Drosophila melanogaster: one gene and its partners. The protein of the gene in region 1 interacts with the protein of each later gene in a pairwise test. Each region holds a gene or a part of one and is shown in the gene's direction. Other genes may lie near its edges.

Region 1 (3,719 bases):
TCAAGGCGGCACTGTACCTGTGGCTTCCCGAAAGCGGCCTGTTCAGTTCGCCGAATCTGCCCGATATGGTATACTTCACCACCGCGGATGGAGCGGAGAGCAACGCGTTCCAGGGTGGAGGCTTCCACGTCTACCAGGAGGCATCTATGCGTGTGTGGCGGCTCAAGTACTCCGGACTGCTGAAAACTCAAGGGCCGGACGTGCAGGACGTAGCCGTGGACTTGGACCTCCGTTTCGAAAGCTCCTCCGCTGAGCACTTCGACTACAACAGAGATCTGAGCAGCGCCCTGATAGCCGACTCCATAGCCAGAGAGGCCTGGAACGAAAAGTTCTACAGCCTGCTGCGCAGCGTCAACCACATCGTAGAGAAGCGCACCCACTACGAACAGAACGGAGAACTGGCCGGCCAGGTCACGCTCGATGGCAAGGAGCTGGCGCTGAAAATGGTGGGCTTCCGGGACCACAGCTTCGGCACCGAGCGCTGCCTAAGCTCCATCAACCGGTACGTGTACTTTGCCCTCTTTATGGACGATGGCAGCAGCATGGTGGTGGGCAGCCTCAGTCAGCCGTCCTTCTTCCTGTCCTCCCTGAAGGTGGGCTACGTGTGCAGCCCCGAGCGGCAGTATCAGCCGCTGACCGGGAGCAACTTCGAGCTGTACTCGTACGGCGAAAAGGGAACGCCGCCGCAGCACCAGAATTTCATTGTGCGCACCGAGGAGCGGGAGTACCTCGTGCAAATCCAGGTGGAGGCCTCCGCGCTGCGCTACGTCGGCGGCGACTGGGAGTCTAAGGTGTTCAACCAGTTTGTGGCCTGCACGGTCAACGGAGTTCCCGGCCAGGGCCACGCCGAGTTCCTGTACCGCCACAAGGGCGGCAGGCCGGAGGATATATCGTCCGGGGACCCCGGCTGGTACCAGGACATCAAGCGCTTCGAGAGAAGCCTCTCGTTGCTGGAAGAGGAGGGCCAGGACGAAGACTTCATCTTCTAGGACGCCGACGAATTGTTTTTGTTTTCAGTTTAAGATAGCATGTAAAAGTATGGGGGAGACCCATCCTATCAAAATAAAGAGATTTTGTTTGAATGACATTCGAGATTCTGAAGTCATTGGCCGCGCTGATGTCATCGGTAAGTCCAAACTAATTCAGTTAACCAACAATCCAACAGCAATATCCACTGGAGGCCATCCGGTGCAGCTGCAATCTGGTGGACTCGGGTCGATGAGGAAGATTACCGAATCGCTGGTGGAGGAATTGGACCCCCCGTGAGGATTAGTCGCCCATAAATTAGCATGCGACAGACGAACGGATTAGATTGGACAGCTACTTCGGTTTTTCTCCCAATAAATAATGGCGATTCGGGCCATCGGTTTATGGCACCCAAAAGACAACGGGCCCCACTTATCGCTCCGTCGGGCCAATAAAACCCAAGACCAGGCACCAAGACTGGGCCCAAGTGCCCAGGTGTCGCAGATAAGAGGCGAGCGGCGGGGCAGATAGCTTCAATCCAACAAAATAAACCATGCTCGGGATCTGAATGGAGCATTATGCTGCCGTCCGGTTCCGACCTGCCGCAATGTCAGCTTATGGTGGGCCGATAAGTGCCGGGCATGACCCTCCCTTCAGTGTCCAGTCCACAGCCCATATCTGGGCTCATGAGCAGGTAGCTCCGATAACGCAACCGCCGACAGATATTGGCCACCGATTTGCCCGGAATTCGGCAAATCATGCACTGTTTCTGGAATTCGCCTTCATTAATTATGCACGTAACTCTGAAGTGGTATTCCTCGTAGGCGAAATTATTTGTTAGATTACGCAGTTATTGTAATCAAAAATGCGATTGCTTCTGGGCAAATCCAAGGAATCATCAGCCGAATTTTCGTTCCCAGTAGTAGGCCGGTTTCTGTGGAAATCAAGGAACAGCTTTGATCTAGCATAGTAGTTTCCAAGTGCCCAGTCGCAGAGCTGGAATATACTTGTAGATTTATATACATATATGTTGCCAAATTTCGAAGTTATTGCACCGAATTGCACAATGATTGGGATGGCTGACAGCGCGGAGGGGGTTACCCAGGAAGACAGCCACACGGAGTCGAGGGCAGACGGCATCAGCGGGTCCTTGCGCTCCCTGGGCACATATACCCAGGAGTCCACAGAGCCGGCTTTGAGTCCGGCGGACCTTCCCGCCCGCAGCCGGAAGGCCTTTCTGCGGCACATGATCGGCCAGCTGGCGGAGCCCGTGCAGAACCGCATACGGGCACTGCGGCACAATCAGCTGCAACAGGTACGCATTTCGGAGCAGTTCTTCCGGGAAGTCTACGAGCTGGAGCGACGTTTCTACGGCCAGAGCTGCGCGCTCTTCGATGCGAGGCGGGATATTTTGGAGGGTTCGGTGGAGCCACCGATCCAAACGGAGAAGACCTGGCCCGAGGACCCGCAGGATGCTCTGTACCTGGACTTCGGGAACAACGAGGAGCTGCGACAGCTGAGGCAAAAACTGGCTCCGGTTTCGCCGACTACGCTGGGTGTTCCACGCTTTTGGCTGACAGTTTTCCAGAACGTGCCCCTGCTCTCGGAGTTGGTCCAGGATCACGACGAGCCGCTTCTGGAGAGCCTAATGGATGTGCGCCTGGCTTACGACCAGGACAGCTACATGGTCATCTTTCAGTTTCGGCCCAATAGCTTCCTGCACGATTCCTCGCTGCTGCTCACGAAGCGCTACTTTCTGCAGCACTCGGCGGACCCGGAGTATCCCTTTCTGTTCGAAGGGCCCGAAATAGTTCGTTGCGAAGGCTGCCACATCCACTGGCGCGATGGCTCCAATCTCACTCTCCAAACGGTGGAAAGCAGGCGAAGGAACAGAGCACACCGAGTCACCAAGGTCATGCCTCGGGAGTCCTTCTTTCGCTTCTTTGCTCCGCCGCAGGCCTTGGACCTGTCGCTCGCGGATGAAAAGACCAAGCTGATCCTTGGCAACGATTTCGAAGTGGGCTTCCTGCTACGCACCCAAATCGTCCCGAAGGCGGTGCTCTTTTACACGGGCGACCTAGTTGACAGCCTGAGCGCGGCCTCTCCGGACAGTCGCTCCTTGTCCTCGGAGGCGGAACAGGAGCAGGTCTTGTGAGTGCGACGCGACTAGCTGTTTGCTAAACAAAATTTACAAGTGAATGTGGTAATGATTTCTTATTAAATTCTACAGTTCGGCCAAAGCCAGTTCATCACAAATAAGGTGAACCCCTTCCCCTCCTAGCGCTACTTAAAAATGCTGGTGTAGTACTCCTCCTCCAGGTCGTACAAGTCCATGGCCATTTCGTCCCTAAGTTTCATCAGCTTCTTGTCGCACTCGCTCTGTGTGTTCCTGAACAGCTGCGAATTGTTTGTGATGGCCTCGTTGACCGAGTGAAAGTCGTTGAGGATTAGGTACTGTTTTAGGTCGGCCACCAGCTTCATCAGAGACTCGCCGGCACGGACTATAAAGCGGAATGCATGAAGGAAATGGCTCGAATCTGGTTCCCAGGGAGTGGATTTACTCACCCATGTTGGCCGCGCGGACCTGCATTTCCAGGGCATCCTGTTCGCACTGCGTGGTCTTCGAAATCTGGCTGTGGCTCTCACGGCGCGCCAGCTTGAGTATTTCTGGAGGAGAACACGGTATTACAATCTATTGCTCGGAGCAACTGAGCCGCACTTACCTTCAAAATTCTCCAGCATGCTGCGAACGT
Region 2 (7,306 bases), on another chromosome or scaffold:
GAGGTGTGCAGCAGCAGCGAAAGGGCCGGCATAGCGATCATGATGGAGATGCGCCGCATTGCAAACCATCCGTTGCTGATGCGTCACTACTTCACCGACGCCAATCTACGTGGATTCTCTAAGCGCCTGGCTAATGCCAGTTCCTTTAAAAAGACCAACGAGCAATACATCTTTGAAGAGCTAGCCGTTATGTCAGACTTTCAGGTCTATCAGATGATGAACAAGCATGTAAGTGACTATCAAAGAGGTTGTCCAATGACAATGACTAAATTTGTGCATCTTTCAGGAGTTTTACGACGTGAAAATACCCGATAATTTGATATGCGATTCTGGAAAATTCCTCTACCTGGATACGTTGCTTCCAAAACTGAAGGCAGAAGGACACCGTGTGTTGCTTTTCAGCCAGTTCACCATGATGCTGGACATTGTGGAGGAGTATCTGCGAATACGAAAGTTTGGTTTCTGTCGCCTGGACGGGGCGACCGCCGTAAATGTCCGCCAGGATTTGATCACCGACTTCAATGGGGACGATAGCATCTTTGTGTTCCTACTCTCCACCAAAGCCGGTGGCGTTGGCATCAACCTGACGGCTGCCGACACCTGTGTCATTCACGATATCGACTTCAACCCGTACAACGATAAACAGGCCGAGGATCGGTGTCATCGCATGGGACAGCAGCGTCCGGTGACCATTTACCGTCTCATTTCCGAGAGTACCATCGAGGAGGGCATCCTGATGGCCGCCGAAGAGAAGCTAAAACTAGAAAAGGACATTACTTCCAACGAGAAGGGCGAGGTGCACGAGCAGCGATGTGTGGTCAAGCTGTTGACCACAGCCCTTGGCTTGGACAAGGATCAGGAGGAGCAGCTAAACAATTCACTAAACAACTCCATAGCCTCGCCCGCCAAATAGGCATTCTCGTTGTCCTCGTTCTCGTCCTTGTCCCCACCTCCGTATTTATTCTGCGCGAGCATTTGATCAACTTGGTCTAATCGTCCTACCGCTGTCAAATCCTGTTAACATCGTTTGAATTATTCTAACAATATTGTATTTGTATATTTTTTAAACTTGTATGCAAGGAGAGATTTGGTGTATGGTATGCCAAAAGTGGATCATAAATCGAGTTAGTAATTTTTCACCGTTGAGGCGACATTAGTTTTTCTTCATTAGTAACAGCAACATTTCCACGATAAACCAAGGCAGACAAGTTAATATTCTTGTTTTATTGATTTGTCATCATGATTAGTTTTCATTTCTGTAATTTCTGTTTATGTATCGAATTGAAACTATTGTTATAAGGATAAAGATCATTTTGTGTACGAATGCGATCATGTTCATTTATTTCTACATATTTGCTCTATAGTTCGAGCCGCTCGACAACCCTAAACGGATCGCTCTCGCATTTTCCCACGAGATTCTTTTGGTTGTGTGGTGCAAAGAGAAGCGGAGAATCGCTTTCCAGAGAGCACAACTGTAATGAAGAGCTTTCGGCTGGCGCGGCGATTCATCAAGTCTTTAGTCTTCAACTGATCGCTCGCGCCGATGATTTAATTTTTAAGTTAAAGCCTGCGCCCAGTGTAGCAGCCGGCAGCGTTACTCACATCCATATACATACATACGTGCGAATATACATACATGCTCACATAATACGGCGTACATCGATAAATAGATATACCCCGCAGATATAGTGTCTCGATCGACAGCAACGAACCCATGGAAACCTAAAGTAAAACCAAAATTCCAAGGTTCCATTGTCCCGTAGTTAAATGTGTTTAAATCCAATTACATCCCCGATCCTTTATATTTTGCTCTTACGAATCGGGATTATGTGATTCATGCATAAGTACATACGTTTCCTCCCCGAATACTTTCTTGAATTCTATTTAAAAATAGACAAACTGTTTGCGAGCGGAAATCATATTGTGCCGCGGCGGCGACTAAAACGCTAAATAAATCGGGCCAATAATTTGAAATAGTCTGTTCTTTTTTTTATTTTGTCTTTCTGCCAGCCCGCTGATATTATTGTTTTTGACCAACGGAAACGGAAGCAACGCCAACTGCATATAGGTTTATAGATGTATCTACATAGTGCTGCGATACAGTCATCATTCGCAGCGCTGTCATATACTATAAATATAGATGCGGCGGCACATGTGAGCAGTTTTTGGCAATTGCCAAAGAATACGGCGCACAAGTCGGGTGAAAACAAACAGCGCGTGCAGGCTAAACATGAAGAGTAGTATAGGAAAATATAAATAACAATTAATAATCCCCTCATTTTGGCCGCGCCTGTATGCGTGTAGTGACCGCTTGTATGTGTACGTGTGAGAGTAATCCGAACAATAACTATATTATATACATAAATAGCGAGCGATCTGCATTAAATGAGAGAAAAATCACAATAAAAAGAAAAACGAACGAACACAACAACGCGAACAAAAATTAAGAAACCAAAACGGAATCGGTAATAATTGACGACGAGCAGACAACGAGCCGAGAACAAGCAGCACAAAGCGACAAACCAAAAATAGACGATACCAACGGTGCGTATACTTAACGAGCCACCCGCTCATATCACTCATCTCGCCCTCTCGCTCGCACAGCAGCCACCAGTCATCCGAGCAAAAGCAACAACAATAGGCACTAAAATCAATTGTGATCACAGTGCGTTTGTGTGAGTGCGTATGCGTATGCGTATCTGTGCCTTTTTTTGCATTTGCCGCTGTATCTGCCTGCATCTGTATCTGTGTCTAGAGGCCCGCAATCCATAACCATCTAGTGTATTACCCCATATGCGGACTATTTGGGCGTGGAGGGACGCTTCGAAATATTAATTATTTCTGACACTGTTTACGGCTTGACTTGGCGCATGCCAAGCATGATTAAACGAGACACGAAAGAGCGTATCTACGAAGTAGATAAATATCTTTATACGAACAACTAAGCTGCGGCACCAAGCAACAATCGAATCGACGAATAGCAACAACGCACAAACAAACCCATCTATATATACACTATAGACAGAGATAAACAAAAGCTCAAGCAGCAACAGCAGCAGCAACAACGAAACAATTTGAAGGAAATATTTTTGCACTAAAAGGTGAGTATATCCGTCCATCCGACGCTGATTCATAATACCAGCCTAGCTTATTCCGAGCACTCTGTTTGGCAATCTGAGAATGGGAAGTGTAGAGCAATTAGCGAGGCAAGTTCACATTGCTATGATAGTAGTCACTCTCACAGGGCAGTTAACCTATGTAAGATTCTCTAAGTTCGTTAATTACCACATTTTGACAAGTTCATTGTTTTATTGATATAAGTGGATGGTACATATAAGTAAGAAGAGTCAAAGATTTATTCAAGCCACATTTTGTGATAATAGATGGTAGAGAGGCCTGACTGTACAATGTATCTTTCGTATGTATCTTTCGCGGAGACTCACTTCGGACTTCTTGTGGGCCGCAGAATAAGAATTACTCGGGGGCTGATGTCATGTTCGGAGATGAAGTGCTCTAGCCAGAGGTTCCAAACCAGATGCAACTCCTACGCTCGGCCATAAAGCCGGTTGGTTGCTCGACAAGATCAAGTAGTTTGCGCCTCCCTCTCGCATGTGGGTTAAAGAGTTTTTGTGTATCTTACTTGATATATGTTGACAATAATATAATGCGATATGCTGAAGTATATAATTAATTTTCATTGTATTCCAGACCCGGCAATCTGAATCTGCAAAAGGGGAAGATATCCCTCAACATCGTATTAAGAAGAGAACTCAACTCGATAAAGGAGGAAAGGAAACCAACTATTGTGATATGTACAAATTTACTCAAATACTGAAGCCACACATTTAGACGTTTATTCGACGGAATCCCAGTTGTGAATCGATTAACCGGAGGATAATCTACCAAAGATTAGGCTTTCATCTTCAATTAGGTTTTACCCAAATAGAGCAGAAGCAGTACTCGCGCAAAAATCGCAGGATGGCCGAAAAGGTGGAACTACTGGCCCAGGCCAGCATGAATGGCCAACAGAATGATACGCGGAAGGTGCGCAAATCACCGGAATTTCAGCCCGGCGTTATCTCCCGCGAACGCAGCTTTGTGCGCACCTCAAATCAACAGGTGGGTACACCATATCGATGTCGATTAGCAGCCATATTTATATAATTGTTTGTTCATTCAGAATATCAACAAACGGCGAAGTCTGGCTTTCAACGTACCTGGCAATCAGACGGGACAGATGAGGGGCAAACCAGCCATGGATATCTACAGGCCTCCCAGTGAGTTGTTTTAGTCATTCGTTATAAATTCTCTAATTCGCTTGGGTGCTTGGCAGGGTGCTCGGTGCTAAAGAAGTTAAAGAACTCAATATAATAGAGAATTTTTATATTTCGAGGATATTTAATCGGTATTATTTTAGTGGTGGCTTAGAAATACAAACACATCAAGTGTAGATATATGCATTTGGACGAGAAAGGTACTGAATAATCAAAAACATACATGTACATATAACGATATTTATTATAGGCATATTTTATAGGGACTATTTCCGTTTTTTTTCCAGCTTAGTCCTTAAAAAGTGAGATTGAGCATATTTAAAAATGTAAATATTAAATGTCAATAGTCACATATGTACTTCAGCCAGCCCAGCTTAAGATGCTCTATTCTTTGCTGCCAGCTTATCAGTTCCAATTAATACTTACTGAGACCACATTTTTCTTTTGATTCTTTTCATATCTCTGTCTCATACCCTGTACATTCCGTCCCTCCACACAATGTTGTCCTACCCCCCAACATCATCACATACACTCTTGGGTATACCGACCCTTCCCCAACAATAATCCCCACTTGACTCTGTCTCAGATGTGCGCGGAGAGCTAGCCGCTCCAGCCGGTGGTGTCGGTGGTGATGGTCCGAATGGTGCTATCGGTGGTGTCGCCAACAAGCTGAACGTCAATGCCCAGGAGTTCACAATGACAACCAGCTCCGGGGCACCGGCCGAGGCACTCGGCAACCGGTAATGCAAAGTCTTTTAATTCCATTGTTTACCCCTCTTCCCGTCTCCTTGCAGAGCTAAACTACAGTCTACAACATTCTTCCAGTTCGTCGCTAATACTTCCGCTCACCAATGGACCCGGAGTGGGAGTTGCACCGGGTTTGGGTCCGTACGGAAACGTGAATCGCCGCCAGGCCGGACACTCCCTCGGCAACATGCCGGGCTTGAAGGCCAACCACCGGTCGATCCTGGTGACGTATCCAATCAATACCGGTGCCCTCAGCGGTCAGCTGCCGCTAATGAACTCGCCATCCAGTGGAAATATACTTCACGTGAGCTCTAATTTAAAAATATTGGTAAAAAAAAACAATATTTCAATAAATAAACACCTAAATTCCAGACAACAAATCGTGTAAAGTTTGCACCTGAGCCCCGAGGTCACAAAGTGGCTTCGCATAATCAGTTTGGTCAACTAAACAACAACTATGCTCAGCCTTATCAGGCGAATATTAATGGAGTAGATCCTTACATGAATGGAAATGCACTGCAACGCTCCAAGTCGTTGTCGTCGGCGGATGCCCTTACTCGTGGAATGGCCGGATTGGGACTAGGTTTGGGCAACGAGGTGGCCGACATAGGACAGTTCACGCCAGAGATCCAGGCGCTTATTGACACGGCCCTGGAGGATCCCAATAAACTGAACTCTCGCTGTCTCATGGAACTGACATCGCAGTTCATCAAACGCGCGGTGGAGAGTCGCCGTTTTGCTCTGCCAATATCACGACTGTGTCTGAACATCATTGCCCGGGAGCAGAAGGAAACGTTTCTCGAGGCGCTCCTCAACACATGCCGTCAGTGGTACCAGGAGCGTGAGAAGGTAGGCAATTCAGCATAAATTTCCATGATCATTTCATATTTAAAAATCTTTTACCCCGCATGCAGCTGTTGTTTGCCATCCAGGGCATGAAGTCGCCATCACGTGTCCGATTCACTGCCTTTATGGCCTTCCTTACGGAAATGTTTTGTCAGCTGAAACGTCGGCAGCTCCAGCTACGCACCCACCACGAGGGCACTCCTCCGCCACTGGTACTGCTTAGTCTGCTCTCCAAATGTTGCGGGGATTGCGTGCGTCCACCCATTAGATCACTTTCAGAGGTACGTTTTTGATTGATCAAGTGGTTGGAATAATACATGTGATTACTATTCATAACTTTCAGATTGAGTGCTTGTTTTATGTTTTGACCTGTATTGGCCAGGACATGGAGCAGCAGTTGCCCCAGCAACTGGAGTTACTCATGAGTCTGGTTCGCGATGCCTTTTTGAATGCCGGCGAATCTGCGGCCTCCATTCGGCGCACTCTTCTCCAACTCATCGAGCTGAAGGCCTCCCACTGGCAGCTACCAGGCAATACGGTTCTTTACTACACGCACACTAACAATTAGGAACGAGATCTGGAGCTGGGGACATGGCGGGGATAAGGGCACTGTGCAAGCATCAGGACACCATGAGCAATTGATTCTGTTGTCGCATTGCATTTAGGGCCTGGAAAACTTCTGTTCTATTTATCTTATTGTATTCTTACCTAGACATAAGCAATATTTATTTCGGCAGCAGCTATAGAGAGAAACTAACCCGAGACTTGCACACTACACACCAAGCACAGTACCAAATAAGATCGAACTCTTGGATTCGATATCTTTGGACTGTGCTATAATCTAAGGCTCAACATTTATGTGAATCCATATATTTATGTGTAATAAATCACAGCTAGTCAAACGAGGGTGCAAGTTTATTTTATGCGGGGCACTGCATTATTGGTCATCACAAACAAAAAGACAATAAAACAGTATGCTTCAAATGCATACAAATTTTAAAAACTTATCTTTTTGGTTTTGTAATAATGACTCGCGCTTACCTGTTGAACTTTGTTGAACTACGACCCTGGACGACCTTATCAGCGGCCTGCTATGCCATTTATTCTGCTCCCTATTTAAGCACCAACTAAGGCTCAAAAATCCAGAGTCTTGCTCGACAAGTTGCAATGGTAAGTCGAACATAAGATTAGTAGTTACCTCATACCAATATTGTCCTTAACTATAGGTCGTTCTAAGTTGTTTTATTTGGCTTGCCCTTTATCACTCTGCAAATGCAGCGCTGGAGGGCAGTGAAATTAAGTTTGGGGACGAATCAACTACAGAATCGGCTGAAAAATATCCTGATTACTGCTGGATAAATCCTTTTCTCCCGGGCTGTCCATTTGGTCCGGGTGATGGCAATAATTCGACCACAAAGATTTCAACACTGGCAACAACA
Region 3 (7,929 bases), on another chromosome or scaffold:
ATCAACAAGATAATCTAAATATCCATCGGGTTAAAGGCTGCTCTGGTAAGAGTCCAGTTCCTTGGTAAGCATTTTCCACGCACGCTCCGCCTGTTTCTGGGTGAATTCGTGATCCCATTGCGAACTGAATATCACATGCGACTTGGCCACGATCTCAGAATTGGGCACCTGACTGGCCAGTCGCTTTTGGGCCTCCACTTCGCTCAACTTGTTGCGCTCAATAATCCGCCGCACAGCCTCATCCGGTGGCACAATCATGGACCACACCTCATGGCAATTGGTCTCCCAGCCCGCTCGCAGCAGCACCGCTGCCTCCAGGACCACCACACGCGGCACGTCCGCCTGGGAACGCAGTGCATCCAGCCGCCTGTTAACCTCCGCAATAAGTTCCGGCCAGACAATGCCGTTGAGTGCTTGCAACTGCTTGGGATCGGCAAACACCAAGGGTCCCAGCTTGGACCGATCGATGCGACCATCGTCTGAAACAATACCCTGTCCGAAGTGCTGCACAATTCGGGTGTAGCACAACTGACCAGGTTCGTAAACATCGTGCGCCACCTTATCGCAGTCGATCACGTGGGCGCCCATGTTGGCCAATCTCTCGCCCATCTTGCTCTTGCCAGATGCGATGCCGCCAGTGAGTCCAATAATGTAAGGGCGCGGCGGGAGCTGTGGTCGTGGCTCCGGCCTTCTCCAGCGGGTTCCCAGCAGATCGATGCGTGTGTTACTCGAGCTGACCTTGGTCTCGTGGATGCCATCATGCACGTTGCTTTCAACAATGTCAATCACAAAGATCTCCAGCTCGCGCAGTTGCTTAGCGGAGCGTACCTCGTTGACCTTCTGCCCTCCTCGCAACGTCTCCGCACTGACCACAATCATGTCCAGGTCAGGATCCACTTGCGTGGGACCAAAGGGATCATCGATGGGCACAATTTCGTACTGCAGCGTATCATCTATGTCCACCAGGAACTCCCTTAGCCGGGCGATGCGCTCTTCCACGGGCAAAATCAAGTCCGGCAGCGTCTTTCCTGCAGACAGCGATAAGAATGGTCGTTAAGATAAGCGTTTTATTTTGCCAATTCATGCCCGTCTTACCCTTCGTCATGGCGGAGGTGGTTACGCCCACAACCAAACGCTTGCAGGTGCGCAGTACAGCCTGGGTGAGGAATATCTTGTGTCCCAGATGGATGCGATCGAATGTTCCGCCCAGGACAACCGAGGGATACACCTTAGGCGGCTGGGTGTCATCCTGCTGGGCACTTAAATCCGAGATGACCGAGTCATCCAGGAAGATTGTTGGCTTGCTGATGTTAAGATCCGCGCGAAGCCTGTCGCACAGCTCCGGATGATGTGCATCCGAGAAGATTAGGTCGACGGGCTGGCGCAACTTCAGGGATCCATTGGCACCTGGTCGTAGGGGAGAGACAAGGACGCGAAGGTCCAACTGCTTGCCCACATAGCTGCTGCTGTTGGCGTACAGCTGCGAGATTAGACGACCCCAAACCGGAGGCGGTGGAACTGGTGACGTCGTGGACGTTGACCCCGCCACATTTAGGTGGATGTACAGTGAATTCACGTACTTCTCGATGGCTCGCAGGGATTTGCCAAGGTGCTTGATGTTGGACACCACCAGGAGACCTGTGGATGAAGCCATTCTGCTCGATTGATTGCGACTAATTATGAAGGCTAGCTCAACAATTGCATCAACATTGTGCCGATGGGTTGTCGTTCCCAATCACACTTATCGATATGTGCTGATAAGGTGTAAAAATACCGTTATAAAAATTAAATTTATAACTTGAATAGTAGGCATAAATAAAAAATGTCGCTGCAAGCCTTTCAATAAGATATTGCTTACATATTCAAGGTAACAAATGTCTTATTAAATTTAAACCAATTTTTTATTGTTAAGAAAACATCGAAATACATTTTTGTAAATATCGTGAAATGCTTTAGGACATTTCGAGAGGCCTATCGCGTCACTTGGCCACTCGCGAGTTGGCATCCCCAAATGACGAAAATGAAGCGAAAAGAGAATCCGCAGTCGGAAGAAACACGAGGGAAGGAATTGCCATTATTTTCGAAAGCAGACTTTTCGTTCTAAAATGCCTGGCCGCGCACGAAATTGAAACAGATCAATTTGTGAGCGAACGTTTCTTAATCGTAATGCTCAGTAGGCCAACAGATCGAGATCGCAGCGCGAAAAAGCCAGAAAAAGAAGAGTGCTCCCGAGTGCGTTAGTGTGCGTGTGTCGGTGTCGCAGTCGGTGTGTGAAACAAGAAGTGTTCGAGAGAGGGGCGAGGAGAAAAGTGAGCGTAGAGCAGTAGGAGAGTTTTGAAGGACGTGTGGGCTGTGCAGAAGGATCTCTAGTATCTGCTTTGGATCGCACGCCCATGTGCATTAGCTAACTGGGTGGCGAAAACCACCAACACACGCCACACCACGCCCCTCACACCCGTTCAAAATTCCACCGCAAATCCCCAGCCGGAGCATCGCCATGCCCGTTTCGATGGCCGTATGCGAAACGGCGAATGTCGTCAACGCAGCGCTGCGCGAATCCCTTGGCGGCAACTCCTCCGCCGGCTCGTCGACTGACCAGGCCAAGAGCGGCGAGGACACCAACGGCAGCCTGCAAAATCACATCGTGGCCAATGCCAAACGCATCCTGATGGCCAAAATCGAATACGAGGAGGTGCCCAACTACCACGAATCGGTGCTGGAGAACCTCAAGTCCAAATATATTGTCATCAAGCCGGGAAATCCAGGCGCCATCAATGGCTTTAGTGGCAAAAACAATACAGGCAAACTTGTGGGCGCAAATGGACATGGTGAGTACACTGTGTAAAGATACAACAAAATGTAAAATCCAAAAGTTGCTTGCAAAAGTGGCTTTTTCCGTCTGCGCCTTCGTCTGTGTTTCTTCTTTGTGTGGCAATTTTTGCGCAATTTTCCATGTGCTATATCTTCATATTATATATATAAGATGTATATATACTTAAATGTATTTATGTATCGTCCCGTTTGTTTTTGCCAAATCTTTTGGGAATATCCCTCCACAAATCACGTGTGATGTTTTTCCGCAAACATATTTTTTTTATTGCTCCGCCTGCATTTTGTCGGCAGTGCAGTCGACGTCGGCAGCGCAGCATACCTGTACTTTTTAGGCGCTTCTGTATGTGAGTGCGTGCGTGTGTGTCCGTGTGTGACGGCGTTTTTGGGTGGTGTACGTGTAAACAGAATGCAAAGGAATACGCGGAAAAAGCAAAACAAGTACAACGCCGTAAAGAGTAAGCTGGAAAAGTGACAGCAGCAGCAGCAACAACAGAGCCGCCTCTTCCAAACTTCTGATTCACAGAAGTTGTGGCGGAAAAAAACGTGCTGTATTTCCAGCGGCAAATGAAAGAAGGAAAAAAAGACAAAAAGCACGAGGGCTCCCCTCCGTAGTTCCGTCTCTTTCCCCCGCACATGGCCAGCCCCAGCGGTGCTTTTATTGGCTTTGCTTTATTTTTTTAGATGCGGTAAATGCGCCGCAATCTGCTTTTGCGTGATAAAAAGAGCACAAACAAAGGCCAGACTCGCAGAAGTGATTCACACAGAGCAGGAAGTGGACACAAAGCTCAGCACCAGGAGCTGTTACACGATGTTTCGACTTTTCTTTTCTTTTCTTTTTTTTGGCCTGGTCAATGCCTCGAACACAGTTACAAAGACAATAAAAGGGGGGAGCATTGGGCCTACAACAACCACTGTTAGGTCGCGCCAAAAATTCAGTTGGCAACACTGCCGCCCCAACCCCCTACGCCAGAACGAGACCACTGTATTCGTCGGCAGCAGACACTTGGACTGCTTCACCACTCGCCATCCCTCTCATTCGCTTGCTGTTATCAGTTTAAATTTCTTCTTCTGCCAGTCGCCATCCCGCTCACACGCTAGCTGTTATCAAAGATACAATAGTGCTGGGTAATATCTGAGATATGTGTACCAGGATAAGTACCTCGATTGGTACACTTTCCCAAACAAAACTGCAAGATACATATTCAGGGTACATATGAAATTACGATGCTGTGAAAATATTTTCAGATAAAATCTGGTGATATCACATTCTGTAACGATGTTCAAAGAATTGTATTTCAAAATCTAGTACTGGAAATTTTTTTCGGCGTATACTTTGTGTTCAAGTTTCTTTGTTCAATAGAATAGCTATCTTAATGCTGCACAGTCCGGTGCCTAGGTACAACAAATGTGTACCCTTTCCAACACTGCGAACAGGTGATGGAAGCGCGATTGTGTGTCAGCAGTTTCCACAGCGAGCACTGCTCGTTTTATTTATATTTCATAGCAGCGCGGATCAAGTGACTTAATCTGCAGAAGGGAATTCTTCCAATAAATGCATTATGACTGTGATAATGGTGGACGGGTTCGCCCTGTGGCTGCTCTACAAGCTGTTCCTGTCTCCCTGCTGCCTTCTCCTGTGGCACGTGCTTAAACTGTCTACCGTCCTCTTTACCTTTGCAGACAATAACGGCGCCCGCAAGCAAGCGGAGCACCCGAACAATCAGTCGCACCACATCAACCACCACAATCATCAGCATCCGACAAGCAATCCCAATGAGCTGCCCAAGCCGAAGAGGGTCCTCTATCCGCGGGAGAACATACGCATTGGCTGGAAGCAGTCGGAGCGCAAATGGCAGGTGGGCACGGGCATGATCAATGTGGGCAACACCTGCTACCTCAACTCAACGCTTCAGGCGCTCCTGCACATACCCGCCCTGGCCAATTGGCTCGTTTCGGAGCAGGCGCATCTGGCTGACTGCAATGTGGCCGAACCTGGCAGCGGTTGCATCATTTGCGCCATGACCAAAACACTTTTGGCCACCCAAAGCAATCAGTCGGCCGTCAGACCCTTCCTCATCTACTCGAAGCTAAAGCAGATCTGCAAACACATGGTCGTTGGTCGCCAAGAGGATGCGCACGAGTTCCTGCGCTTCCTGGTCGAGGCCATGGAGCGGGCGTATTTGATGCGGTTTCGTAACTACAAAGAGCTGGATCAGTTGGTTAAGGAGACCACGCCGCTGGGACAGATCTTTGGCGGCTATCTGCGCAGCGAGGTGCGCTGTCTGAGCTGCAACCATGTGTCCATTACGTTTCAGCACTTCCAGGATCTGTTGCTCGACATCCGCAAGGCAGACTCCTTGGAGGATGCTTTCGAGGGACACTTTTCTCGCGAACGGCTAGAGGATATGGGCTACAAGTGCGAGGGATGCAAGAAGAAGGTAGGTCTTTGTGACCTTTGTTCTGTAGTTCATTTTATTTAAACGTATCGCTTGCAGGTATCTGCCACAAAGCAATTCTCTTTGGAGCGTGCCCCAATCACGCTTTGTATACAGCTGAAGCGATTCTCCATGATCGGCAACAAACTGACCAAGCAGATTTCCTTCAAGTCACGCATAGATTTGAGCAAATACGCAGCCCGTTCACAAGCAGCTCAGGCTCAACCGCTCACCTATCGCCTGGTGTCGATGGTCACTCACTTGGGGGCGTCCCAGCACTGCGGTCACTACACGGCCATTGGCTCCACGGATACGGGCAGCTTTTACAACTTCGACGACAGCTACGTGCGGCCAATCGCAATGCACAGTGTGTGCAACACAAATGCCTATATAATGTTTTTCGAACTGGACCTCTCACAGGCTGCCAGTCCGGCGGCCAACAGGCCCAATGGAGTGCGTTTGACCAACGGACACAGCACAACGCCAGTGCCGGCGGCGACTGTGTCTTCGCCTTCACCAACGCGTTTCATTGGTCCTCAACTGCCGGCGGGTGGAGCAAACGGTTACACTAATGGAAATGCCCAGAAAACCGCCATCCAGTTCAAGCAACAAAACCAGCAAAGTCCACAGAACGGACTCCAGCTGGGTACCGGAAAGTTTCAGGACACTGCGAAGCCTCCACTGGTTGGCGCTCACGCTAAAGGCGAAGCTACTTCAGCTCCCACTGCAAATGGTAACAAAAGTTCCTCCCCAAGCAGCAACAGCAGCAGCAACCATAAATCAATAAACCAGCAACAATATCTGCCAATTTCCTCGGATGATGAAGACATCGAGGATGAGATGAAGCCCAGACCAACGACAGCCCAGCTACCGAGCATGCCCAATATGACGGAGAATCATACGGAGCCTAAGGCAAAGTCTCCTGTAAAGATTCAAGTAAAGACTCCCGTCAAAACGCCACTGAAAAGTCTTGTGCCCTACGAATCAGCATCTGAGGAGGAGGAGGCGCCTCTACCGAATCCCCGCAAGCGTCCAAGTGGGGAGGATTCTAGCGAGTCGGACCAAGAGTCTGGCCAGACCAATGGTCACAGTAAGACCAATGGCAGCCACACCAACGGCTCAGCCTCGTCATCGGTTCACGTTAACAACAGCAAACAAAAGACTGATGCCATAGACGAGATATTCAAGAGCCTAAAAAAGTCCGCAGACAGTGATGAGGACGACGATGAGGAGGAGCCCAGCATTCAGCTAACGAATGGCTGGCACCCACAGAAGCAATCACAGTCTCAAAGCAAAGCACCACCATCGCCAAAGACGCCACCCTCGCCAGCGGTCATCAAATCGAAAACGGGTATCTGGAAAGTTACGCGTAACGATGAGGTCGATGCCATCGAAGATGATGTTGACGTCGTGGTGGTGGAGGGATCGCCGGTGAAAATTCCGACGCCGAACAAGAACCATCGCAATCCCTTCTCGAGTAGCAAGCCCTCCACGGACTCGCCCGCAACGCCAGGCGCCAAGCGCCAAAAGTTGCTCAACGGCAGTGCGCTCAAGTCGCACCAGCAGCCAAGGGTGGGCAATGGCTACCAGAGCAATGCCACCTCGAATGGGAGCACCATCAATGAGCTGCTGAAGCAATCGTATCGTGGATACGGCTCCCCCGTGCTCAGTTGGAATGGCAAGCCCGCGGAGCTCGAAAAGGAGGTGAGTTTAGAGAGGCATTCACCTTGAAGCGCTTATCTATCCCTTGTGACCATGTCACTAACGTAGATACTAAATCTATGCATGGTTAACACTTTCTTTGGGTCTGTGCTTCAAAAATAACAAGTTGCGGGCTTAATACGATGAAAATGTACATAAATTGGTTCTCTTTTTGCGGGTTTAACTAATTCTTTATTATTTAACTGGCTCTTTGGTCTTCTTTTTTGTTTTCTATGTCGTTCGCTTAGCTGTTGCATAAAATGCAATTCGATTGAGTTGATTTACTAAACGAACTTGTTTGTAATTTGCATTTGTTTCCACATTATCCCCATTCATTTAGACTTTTGAGTTGGTTTGTGCGAAACGGATAGCTGGTCACGGCAGTGTGGAAGGCAGCGATATCGTCGAGGGCTCGGTTGCAGTCGACGCGGCAGTGACTAGTGGCAGTGACAGTAAAGATGTGGTCGTAATTGCAGTGGCGGTAACAGACACGACCGCTGACGCACCCGATCCGGATCGTCTCACGGACGGCCGGTAGGAGGTAGAAGCGTCGGCGGCAGAGGCGACGCTTCTTCTTTTTCCCCACTAAGCACATACCACACAAAACAAATACAAATAATACGATTACCCCGAATAGTCTGTGATGGCTGCGTTGCTGGTATCCGTTCCCAACCGGGCGGTCACCACAACGCGTCCTCCGTTCAGCGAGCGTGAAAAGTGTAGAGAGAGTTGCAAAAGTCATTGCGGGAGAGAGTGACTGCACCGGAGCCTAGGTAATTCACCCGATGACTCCGCATCCGTTTTCCCGTGCAATGAAGCTTATGATTTGACTGCTGGCCGGCACGTTGTTTCTTTCATTTCAACCGCCTGATACGCCATAAATTCAACCGTTGTGCCGTTACCGTTTTGCCTGATAACCTGTTACAGTGAACCGTGAACCGTAAGCCACTCACCCATTTCG
Region 4 (6,827 bases), on another chromosome or scaffold:
CGCTTAACGTATTTCAATCCATTATATGCATAACCACACCGAAGTCACTGACCAGCTAACCAATACATAGCCATTAATAGGGCGTCATTTATTACATATCGAATGTGGAACTCATTCCCAATTCGACTCCCATAACCATAACCATCCCCATATCCATTCCCAGCTAACTAACGAGCCCCGCAGCGGCATGTGTTCTTGAAATCCACTAATTTAGTTTATTATTAGTATTAGTATATTTGTCGACACCACCGGCGACGTCTGCATTAGTTGATTAAAGATGGACTCGAGATGTTGGCCCAAAGCTGGCAGCATTTCTAATCAATGATACTTTCCAATTATTCAGTGATCCTTTGATGGCCTAAAAAAACACCACTTAACAGTGATAAGCGAAAACAAAAAGGAGAGTGCATTGTGTGTGTGTGTGTGCCATATAGAAACCAGGCGACGAGGATTAAGCCATCAACAGCGAAAGGAGCGTCCCTTTAAGCCAAATGTGAGTAGCGGTAAATCCCAGTCAGAACTTAAATGGGGCACTACAAAGTCGATAATTTCAAAGTGCGTCCTTGCACTTGTACTGAATAACTTTGGGCCATATACATATACAAATCCATATCCGAAATGTATATAAAAAAAAAAAACGGTATGGTGTGTGTAGTTTGGGGTGGAAGGGATATAATTTCTCTTGCACCTGTCGCTGCTCTTTTCACTTCATCGCGTGCGTGGCAAAGCATTTTTATAGCCACAAAATGTCCTTTTACGTTATGTCTCTCAAAAACAGAAACACACACAGGCAGAAGGGAAAAGCGACAAACAATAACAATGCCAGCTAGCGGGAAAATTGAAACGCGGTCAGGAGAAAGCAACAAACAAATAGAGACTTACGCACCATCACAGCCCTTAAAGGCCAATTCATTACGGTGAAAATCTGAAGGAGTTACCATTTCGGATGATTCAAAGCTAATACATTGCAGCTTGCAATGATTAATGCGGCCTGATTAACCGACAGGCCGCGTTAAATTAGCCCCGAAATTAACCCCTTTCACATCGATTGCTTTCCATTTCATTTGTGGACACTTTCAAGGTCGCCTCTTGCGACACTCGTCGCCGACGGCGTTTTGCTATTTTTAAAACATAATTCATATTGAATTATAAATACACTACAATTAGTAATTTACATAGCCGTCAACCGGGGGGAAATCCGAAAACTACGAGGCGCACGCTCAGAAGATAGTAACCAAATTTGGGCACACGTGTAGTTGCCCTTCAAGAAGTAAGACTTGGTAGATGGGTATGAAATAGTCGAAGCTTTTTAAGCATTTTAGAAAATAGTCAGCCTTTCTGCTGAGAAAACTGTATATATGTAAAAGTGATGTATACTAGATACTTAGTTAAATATAAGTGTATGAAAAAAAGGAATACTTAAAAATTTAACAAACAATTACAATGACAGCCTTGATTGTCAATTAAATGAGACAAAAAGTAAACATAATGAGCTATCTGAATGAGTGATTCATTGATTAACTATTTTATTTAGTAACAAAATAGCCATACTGCAGTCTCAGCGTTATCAGCTCAACTCTTGCCAAAAGACCAGATGGGGTTAACGTTTTACTACTACCATTAGACCGAAGAACAGGTGTCCAAAGCAGGTGTTGGACGCTGATAAGCGCCCTCTTGATACCACCGATACCACTCTAAATGGCCGGAGAACCAACTAAGTGGGTAATCACGGTGGCTGCAGCCCTGGCAACCAATTCCGGTGACATTTGGGCTAACTGAAACTGCAGATTGCGATAATTCAAATTAGGATTATCAGGGAAAACCGCCGATTGCCACCGGTTAATCATCGATGTATGAGTGTTTTTTTTTTGTATGGCCGACATAGAGATAAGATTAACCGAAATCGAGCACTCGATATAGACCAATCCCTACTCGAAATGGTCAGTTGCCTTTTGGCCATATTAGCCAGCAGTTCGGGAAAGTAGCTCTCAGCTTGGGAAAATGTCAAACTTCCAATGGTTTCTAACGCTCGGCGTCCTTTGTTGTGCGGTTCTCAGTCCTCAAGGTAACAGAAAAGGAAAAAAATAATAATAAATAGCGAGAGCGAAATGAAAAAAAAAGTCGAGGGAAATCATGTGGCCCAATGTGGCGAGCGATTTCCGGTAATTGAATTAAAGCCACGTTTAATCGGGTGTGAGGCCATCGAAAGGGCAGTTGGCCAAATTAGTGGACAAATAAATGTGGGCCTACGACAGTCATAACATTAAAGAACCACAAGTAATTAATGCAAACGCAATCAAGGTCAAGTACTTTGCCCCATTGACCCCACCACTCAACGAGCAACGCCATCCCCCGGTGGAAAGGACTCTCACGAATGTCCAGGTCCCAAGGTCCTTTGCGGTTTGAGAAATTGTTTTGCCGGCCACGGAAAATGGAAATTAAAGTGGCAAAGCGTCCAGCGAAGTTCACTTTTTTTTTTCTTTTCGGTGGCATTGTTATTGTTATTACAATTTTTCGCGTTCGCATTGTTTGTTGCCGCGTTGATACTGTTTTATATGGAAATTTTTTCGATGCCGCAACCTCATCCGGAAGTCGTTGGCGTATACGTAATAAATTGCGGCCCCGACACGTTGCGTGCCAAAAGAAGCTTTGCACGTCGCGACGCTCGGAATTTTTGCTTATAGTAAAGGGTAGTAGAGTTGCCTTTTGTAAGGGTAATAATCAGCTGGACAGGTAGATAAGTGGGCGTGGCACTGCCTAGATTGACCAGGATGTTTAGCCAATTACAAATTTATCGGATCAAGGAAGAGGTTTAGTAGGGCGATTTTCAAATGTAAATGATAATCAGTTTAAAGCTGGGACAGAAAATGTAACAAATTTTATTTTTAAAAACGAGACAAGAAGATATTGAATATCCACCAATATACATATGTTATAGAACATAATAAATCTAGTTTTCACTTCCAGTTTTTAGTGAGTTCTTTGAACTAGTCTCTATAATATTTTAAGGATTTTGCTGATTGGATTCTATGGTACATAGGTGATTAGGAAAATTGTCCCAACCCATCGAAAGTTAATGAAAATCTCCTTAATCAAGTGTGTGAACTGGAGCCCGTTTTGAATAATTGAGAGTCAGCCGAAAGTGGGTCGCCCCGACACATCCGAATGTGTGGTCACAGGCACCGTGGATACGTTAATTTTTAACCAACCAAACAGGCTGCTGTCCTAACCCATTTCTTAACCAATTTCAGGCGACGGCGGCGTGTTGGCCGTATTTTGGCCATGTGAAACCGAGGCGGACTGCACAGCTGACGGTACTAGCTGCGATTTTGCCAGCGGCCAGTGCGAGTGCTCCACATTCGATACGGTGCTCGCGGAGAACTTCACCCAATGCCTGGCCACGTCGCTCATTGGTGAAAAGTGCGACGACAGCGTCCAGTGCAATCTTATGCCAACGGGGGCCAGTTGTAAAGCCGGGGTCTGCGATTGCGCCGATGGCCAGAACTATCTGCGTGGCAAGTGTCGCCCACTGAACGGACTCGGCGAGTCCTGCGAAACGGTGAGACCACGGCCCAATCAACCGTGCACATATCCTTTATAATTTCGCATGATTTTTCGATTTTAAACAGGACTTGGACTGCTACTTTGGCTACGATCGTGCGTCTGTAAGTTGTCAGCAAAACGTGTGCGGCTGTGCAAATGGCTATTATAACAGATATGGAAACATCTGCCGTCGCAAATCAATGGGTATGTGTTAGTCGAGAAGTTATTGTAAATGGTATATATGGCTCTATATGGCTCTATATATGCCTGATTTTCAGAAGAAAACGATGCCTGCGTCGTTAACGCGGACTGTGATGAACTGGGCGCCGGTGTCGAGTGCGTTGGCCTAGTATGCACCTATGTGGACGAGATCACAACGACTCCGGGTGGCGAGACCGAGGAAACGGAGACCACCAATCCGGGCTCGCCAGAGGATGATGATTCAACCACAGCCGAGGCGATCACCGAGACTGCCGATCCGGAACAGGAGACCGCTTTCAGTAGCCGAAGGCAGCTAACCAAGGCCTTTGTACACGCCCCCCCGCCCACTCACAGCGATGCCGCCGCCCAGGTGTCCTTCGCCCAGCTCACCAATGGCGACACCGAGCCGCTCATCTCGCCCCGATCCCACGAGATTGCCGTCCAGACGAGCATCGAGAAGTACGAGCTGAGGGAGGTGGGACGAAGTGTGCGCAATGCGGCCACCGCCACCACCACAACGACAGCCACCGCCTCCACGAGCACCAGTAGCAGGCGCAACTCCAGCCGCAACCAGAGACACGCCCATGGCCAAAGACGCCGCTTGCCCGCCCTCTTCCGATTCGATGACGAGGATATAAAGACCTACTCCACGCTGGGTTCCAGCCGCGATGACGACGATGCCGATGAGAAGAAGTGTGAGTATCCAAGAATGCCCCCAAAAAAATGAAGTCTCTCAATGCTTAGGCAATCTTAAATATATTTCAACTATTTTTTTTCCCATTTAGATGGCAGCAGCTGCACGGATAATGGAAAGACATGCTCGGGTCTGCCGCACTCGATTTGTTCCAAGAATATTTGCCTATGTCGCCAGGGTTACTATGCCCGCAATGGAAAATGTTTTGCCGGTGAGTAAACTGGGTTTCCCCCAATTTAATTCTTCTATTAATGAAATTAACTGAAATGAAAATTCTTTAGAACTGGGGGAAATTGCGGAGAGCACGGATGAGTGCGAGTACGAGTTCGATCAGTTGACCAAAACTTGCAATTGCCAAAAGAATTATTTCTACGAGCGGGATCTGCGCAATTGCAGAAAACGTAGGTGGTTCCAACGCTAGCTGCTGAATCGCACTTAAGATATATCCTTTTCCATCAAAACAGCCATTCAATACCACTTATCCTGCACCTCGAACAGCCAATGCAGTCCATTTGGCGCCTCCTATTGCCACCCGGAGATTCCGAGGAGGTGCACCTGCGAGGAGTACGCTCTCTACGATGCCATCAAGCAGCTCTGCGAATACAAACGTGGCCTGGGAGCCGAGTGTGAGTCGAACGATGGCTGTCCTGTGGATCACTCCGTCTGCTCCAATCGCGTGTGCGTTTGTGCGGACAACTACTTTGAGAAGGACGATCAGTGTATGCGTGGCATCGGTGCCGACTGCTCGGTGGAGGATGACTGCATACCTGAGAACACCGAATGCCAGGAGAAGGACGAGGAGGATCAGTCGCGCACCTGCCAGTGCCGAAAGGGATACGTGCACTTTAAGGATGAGTGCCTAAAAGAGGGTTAGTACTCAGAAGCTGAAATGCAAAGCAGCAAAATTATGCCCTGCCCCACATTACATTTCATTATAGCCGAGGAGCTGGAGGACGAGTGCGTCGAGGATGAGCAGTGCAAGCCGCTCCTGGCGAGCTGCAATTCGGAGGGCAAGTGTGGATGCAACGATGAGCAGCATGCTAAGAACGGAGTCTGTGAGACGAAGCGAGGTAATTGAGTCGCTAAGCTTTCTTTAATTATTTGTAATAATTCTAATATGTTGCAATCTTGCAGAGCTGGGAGAGTCGTGCACCAAGGCCACCGAGTGCTATGTAGAAAAGGATCCCGAGAATGTCGAGTGCCGCAACTCCGTGTGCCAGTGCAAGCTGGGCTACTCGGCGAACGCCAATCAGAATCAATGCATTCGCGTGATGCCCAATAAGAAAAGTAAGTGTCCTTGCAAAACCAATTGAGTAAGGATGATCTATGAATGTCACGCTTTTCGCAGATTCTTCCGGTAGACCAAGTGCTCTCAAAATCATCACCTTCATGCTGATTGGCTCCGCTTTCCTTATCACCAGTGCGGCCATAAAGCAGGCCTACTACTAGAACCAAACCAAAACCTAAATCCTTTCACCTGCGTGTTTGGGGAATGGCGAGGATAATCGAGGGAGGAGTTGGCCAAGGACCTTGGGGGGATCGGGGTGATTTGGGGATCGGCGGGAGTGGCCAGTATTAGCCAAGTTACTGGCATGGATGCAGGTCCATGCGCAACGTGAATATAAATCAATTAGTTCGTAAGTTGATATTTAGGAGTCGAAGCAATATAAATTTGGAGAAAGGGTCCTCGGAACGGAACGACTCTCGCTTATCTAATACGGCTAAGTGTAATGACAAATTATCTGTAAGTTTTGAAGTTAAACCGCTTGTTGCTAGGCTAAGCGAACAGTTTTTAACCAAATTGTAATATATACATCATAATAAACTAAGGCCAACGAAGAGTTGTGTATCAAATCCAGAAACTGGCAATTATTATTAAACAAGTAGTTTTGAGATTTCACTTCTATCAGTTAGCAACAGCAACTCAACTCAAATTTGTACCTTTCAATTTTTCAAGCTCGAATGTTTTGTACGTAATTCTTAGTTTAGCATCCTAAATTTCAGTACGTTAGTTGAAAAGTATAAGTAGAGATGGCACCGTATCCAAACGGCTTTTTAAGTTACGCGGTGGCTATACATCTTAAATCCCCGCACCTCCAAATGGAGGAGTCACTGCGTCAGGGAGCGGGGTACTGGAATGCATTGAGTTCGCGAGAAAAGAATCAGTATCGATCGAAAGTAAGTTCCTAGGGATTACACACTTTCCCCCTGACCGGCGAACTTTATCTTCTGCCCTTCGTTAATACCCTGCAGTACCAGAAACGGTGTCTCAGCAAAAGCTCCACTTCGCGTCATCGGCGTCAATCGGAGAAACTCAAACATATGGGATGCGGCCGCAAGAAAATAGTGCCCAAGTGTTCCCGAAAGCCCACGACTCCGGCCTGCAAGC

The links.
Region 2: the proteins of CG3708 (region 1) and CG13124 interact in a two-hybrid assay, tested with the Drosophila melanogaster proteins (one large-scale study listed by BioGRID).
Region 3: the proteins of CG3708 (region 1) and scny interact in a two-hybrid assay, tested with the Drosophila melanogaster proteins (one large-scale study listed by BioGRID).
Region 4: the proteins of CG3708 (region 1) and CG7381 interact in a two-hybrid assay, tested with the Drosophila melanogaster proteins (one large-scale study listed by BioGRID).

Annotation. Positions count from the first base shown.
Region 1 is NC_004354.4:928,298-932,016, reverse strand, and holds CG3708 (uncharacterized protein), read left to right. Parts: upstream 1-1,918; 5' UTR 1,919-2,032; coding exon 2,033-3,121; 3' UTR 3,122-3,219; downstream 3,220-3,719. Other genes in the region: CG3706 (uncharacterized protein), read left to right, coding at 1-989; MED22 (mediator complex subunit 22), read right to left, coding at 3,250-3,467, 3,532-3,633, 3,690-3,719.
Region 2 is NT_033779.5:9,902,846-9,910,151, reverse strand, and holds CG13124 (uncharacterized protein), read left to right. Parts: upstream 1-1,518; 5' UTR 1,519-1,727; exon of another isoform or gene 1,728-1,844; intron 1,845-2,296; 5' UTR 2,297-2,544; intron 2,545-2,604; 5' UTR 2,605-3,101; intron 3,102-3,708; 5' UTR 3,709-3,978; coding exon 3,979-4,119; intron 4,120-4,180; coding exon 4,181-4,277; intron 4,278-4,860; coding exon 4,861-5,014; intron 5,015-5,068; coding exon of another isoform or gene 5,069-5,099; coding exon 5,100-5,325; intron 5,326-5,393; coding exon 5,394-5,870; intron 5,871-5,935; coding exon 5,936-6,148; intron 6,149-6,210; coding exon 6,211-6,435; 3' UTR 6,436-6,773; downstream 6,774-7,306. Other genes in the region: Etl1, read left to right, coding at 1-228, 287-913; Muc30E (mucin 30E), read left to right, coding at 7,035-7,037, 7,094-7,306.
Region 3 is NT_037436.4:5,767,106-5,775,034, forward strand, and holds the start of scny (scrawny), read left to right. Parts: upstream 1-1,896; 5' UTR 1,897-2,497; coding exon 2,498-2,828; intron 2,829-4,059; exon of another isoform or gene 4,060-4,205; coding exon of another isoform or gene 4,206-4,266; exon of another isoform or gene 4,267-4,391; coding exon of another isoform or gene 4,392-4,512; coding exon 4,513-5,270; intron 5,271-5,327; coding exon 5,328-6,971; intron 6,972-7,308; coding exon of another isoform or gene 7,309-7,506; exon of another isoform or gene 7,507-7,908; intron 7,909-7,929. Other genes in the region: Ppat-Dpck (bifunctional phosphopantetheine adenylyltransferase - Dephospho-CoA kinase), read right to left, coding at 31-1,028, 1,096-1,654. UniProt on the Drosophila melanogaster protein: Hydrolase that deubiquitinates polyubiquitinated target proteins including imd. Required for preventing the constitutive activation of the imd/NF-kappa-B (Imd) signaling cascade under unchalleneged conditions.
Region 4 is NT_033777.3:12,967,243-12,974,069, reverse strand, and holds CG7381 (uncharacterized protein), read left to right. Parts: upstream 1-1,942; 5' UTR 1,943-2,001; coding exon 2,002-2,065; intron 2,066-3,251; coding exon 3,252-3,559; intron 3,560-3,629; coding exon 3,630-3,747; intron 3,748-3,821; coding exon 3,822-4,439; intron 4,440-4,529; coding exon 4,530-4,649; intron 4,650-4,719; coding exon 4,720-4,839; intron 4,840-4,902; coding exon 4,903-5,307; intron 5,308-5,376; coding exon 5,377-5,508; intron 5,509-5,572; coding exon 5,573-5,725; intron 5,726-5,786; coding exon 5,787-5,887; 3' UTR 5,888-6,295; downstream 6,296-6,827. Other genes in the region: grsm (granny smith), read left to right, coding at 6,470-6,616, 6,692-6,827.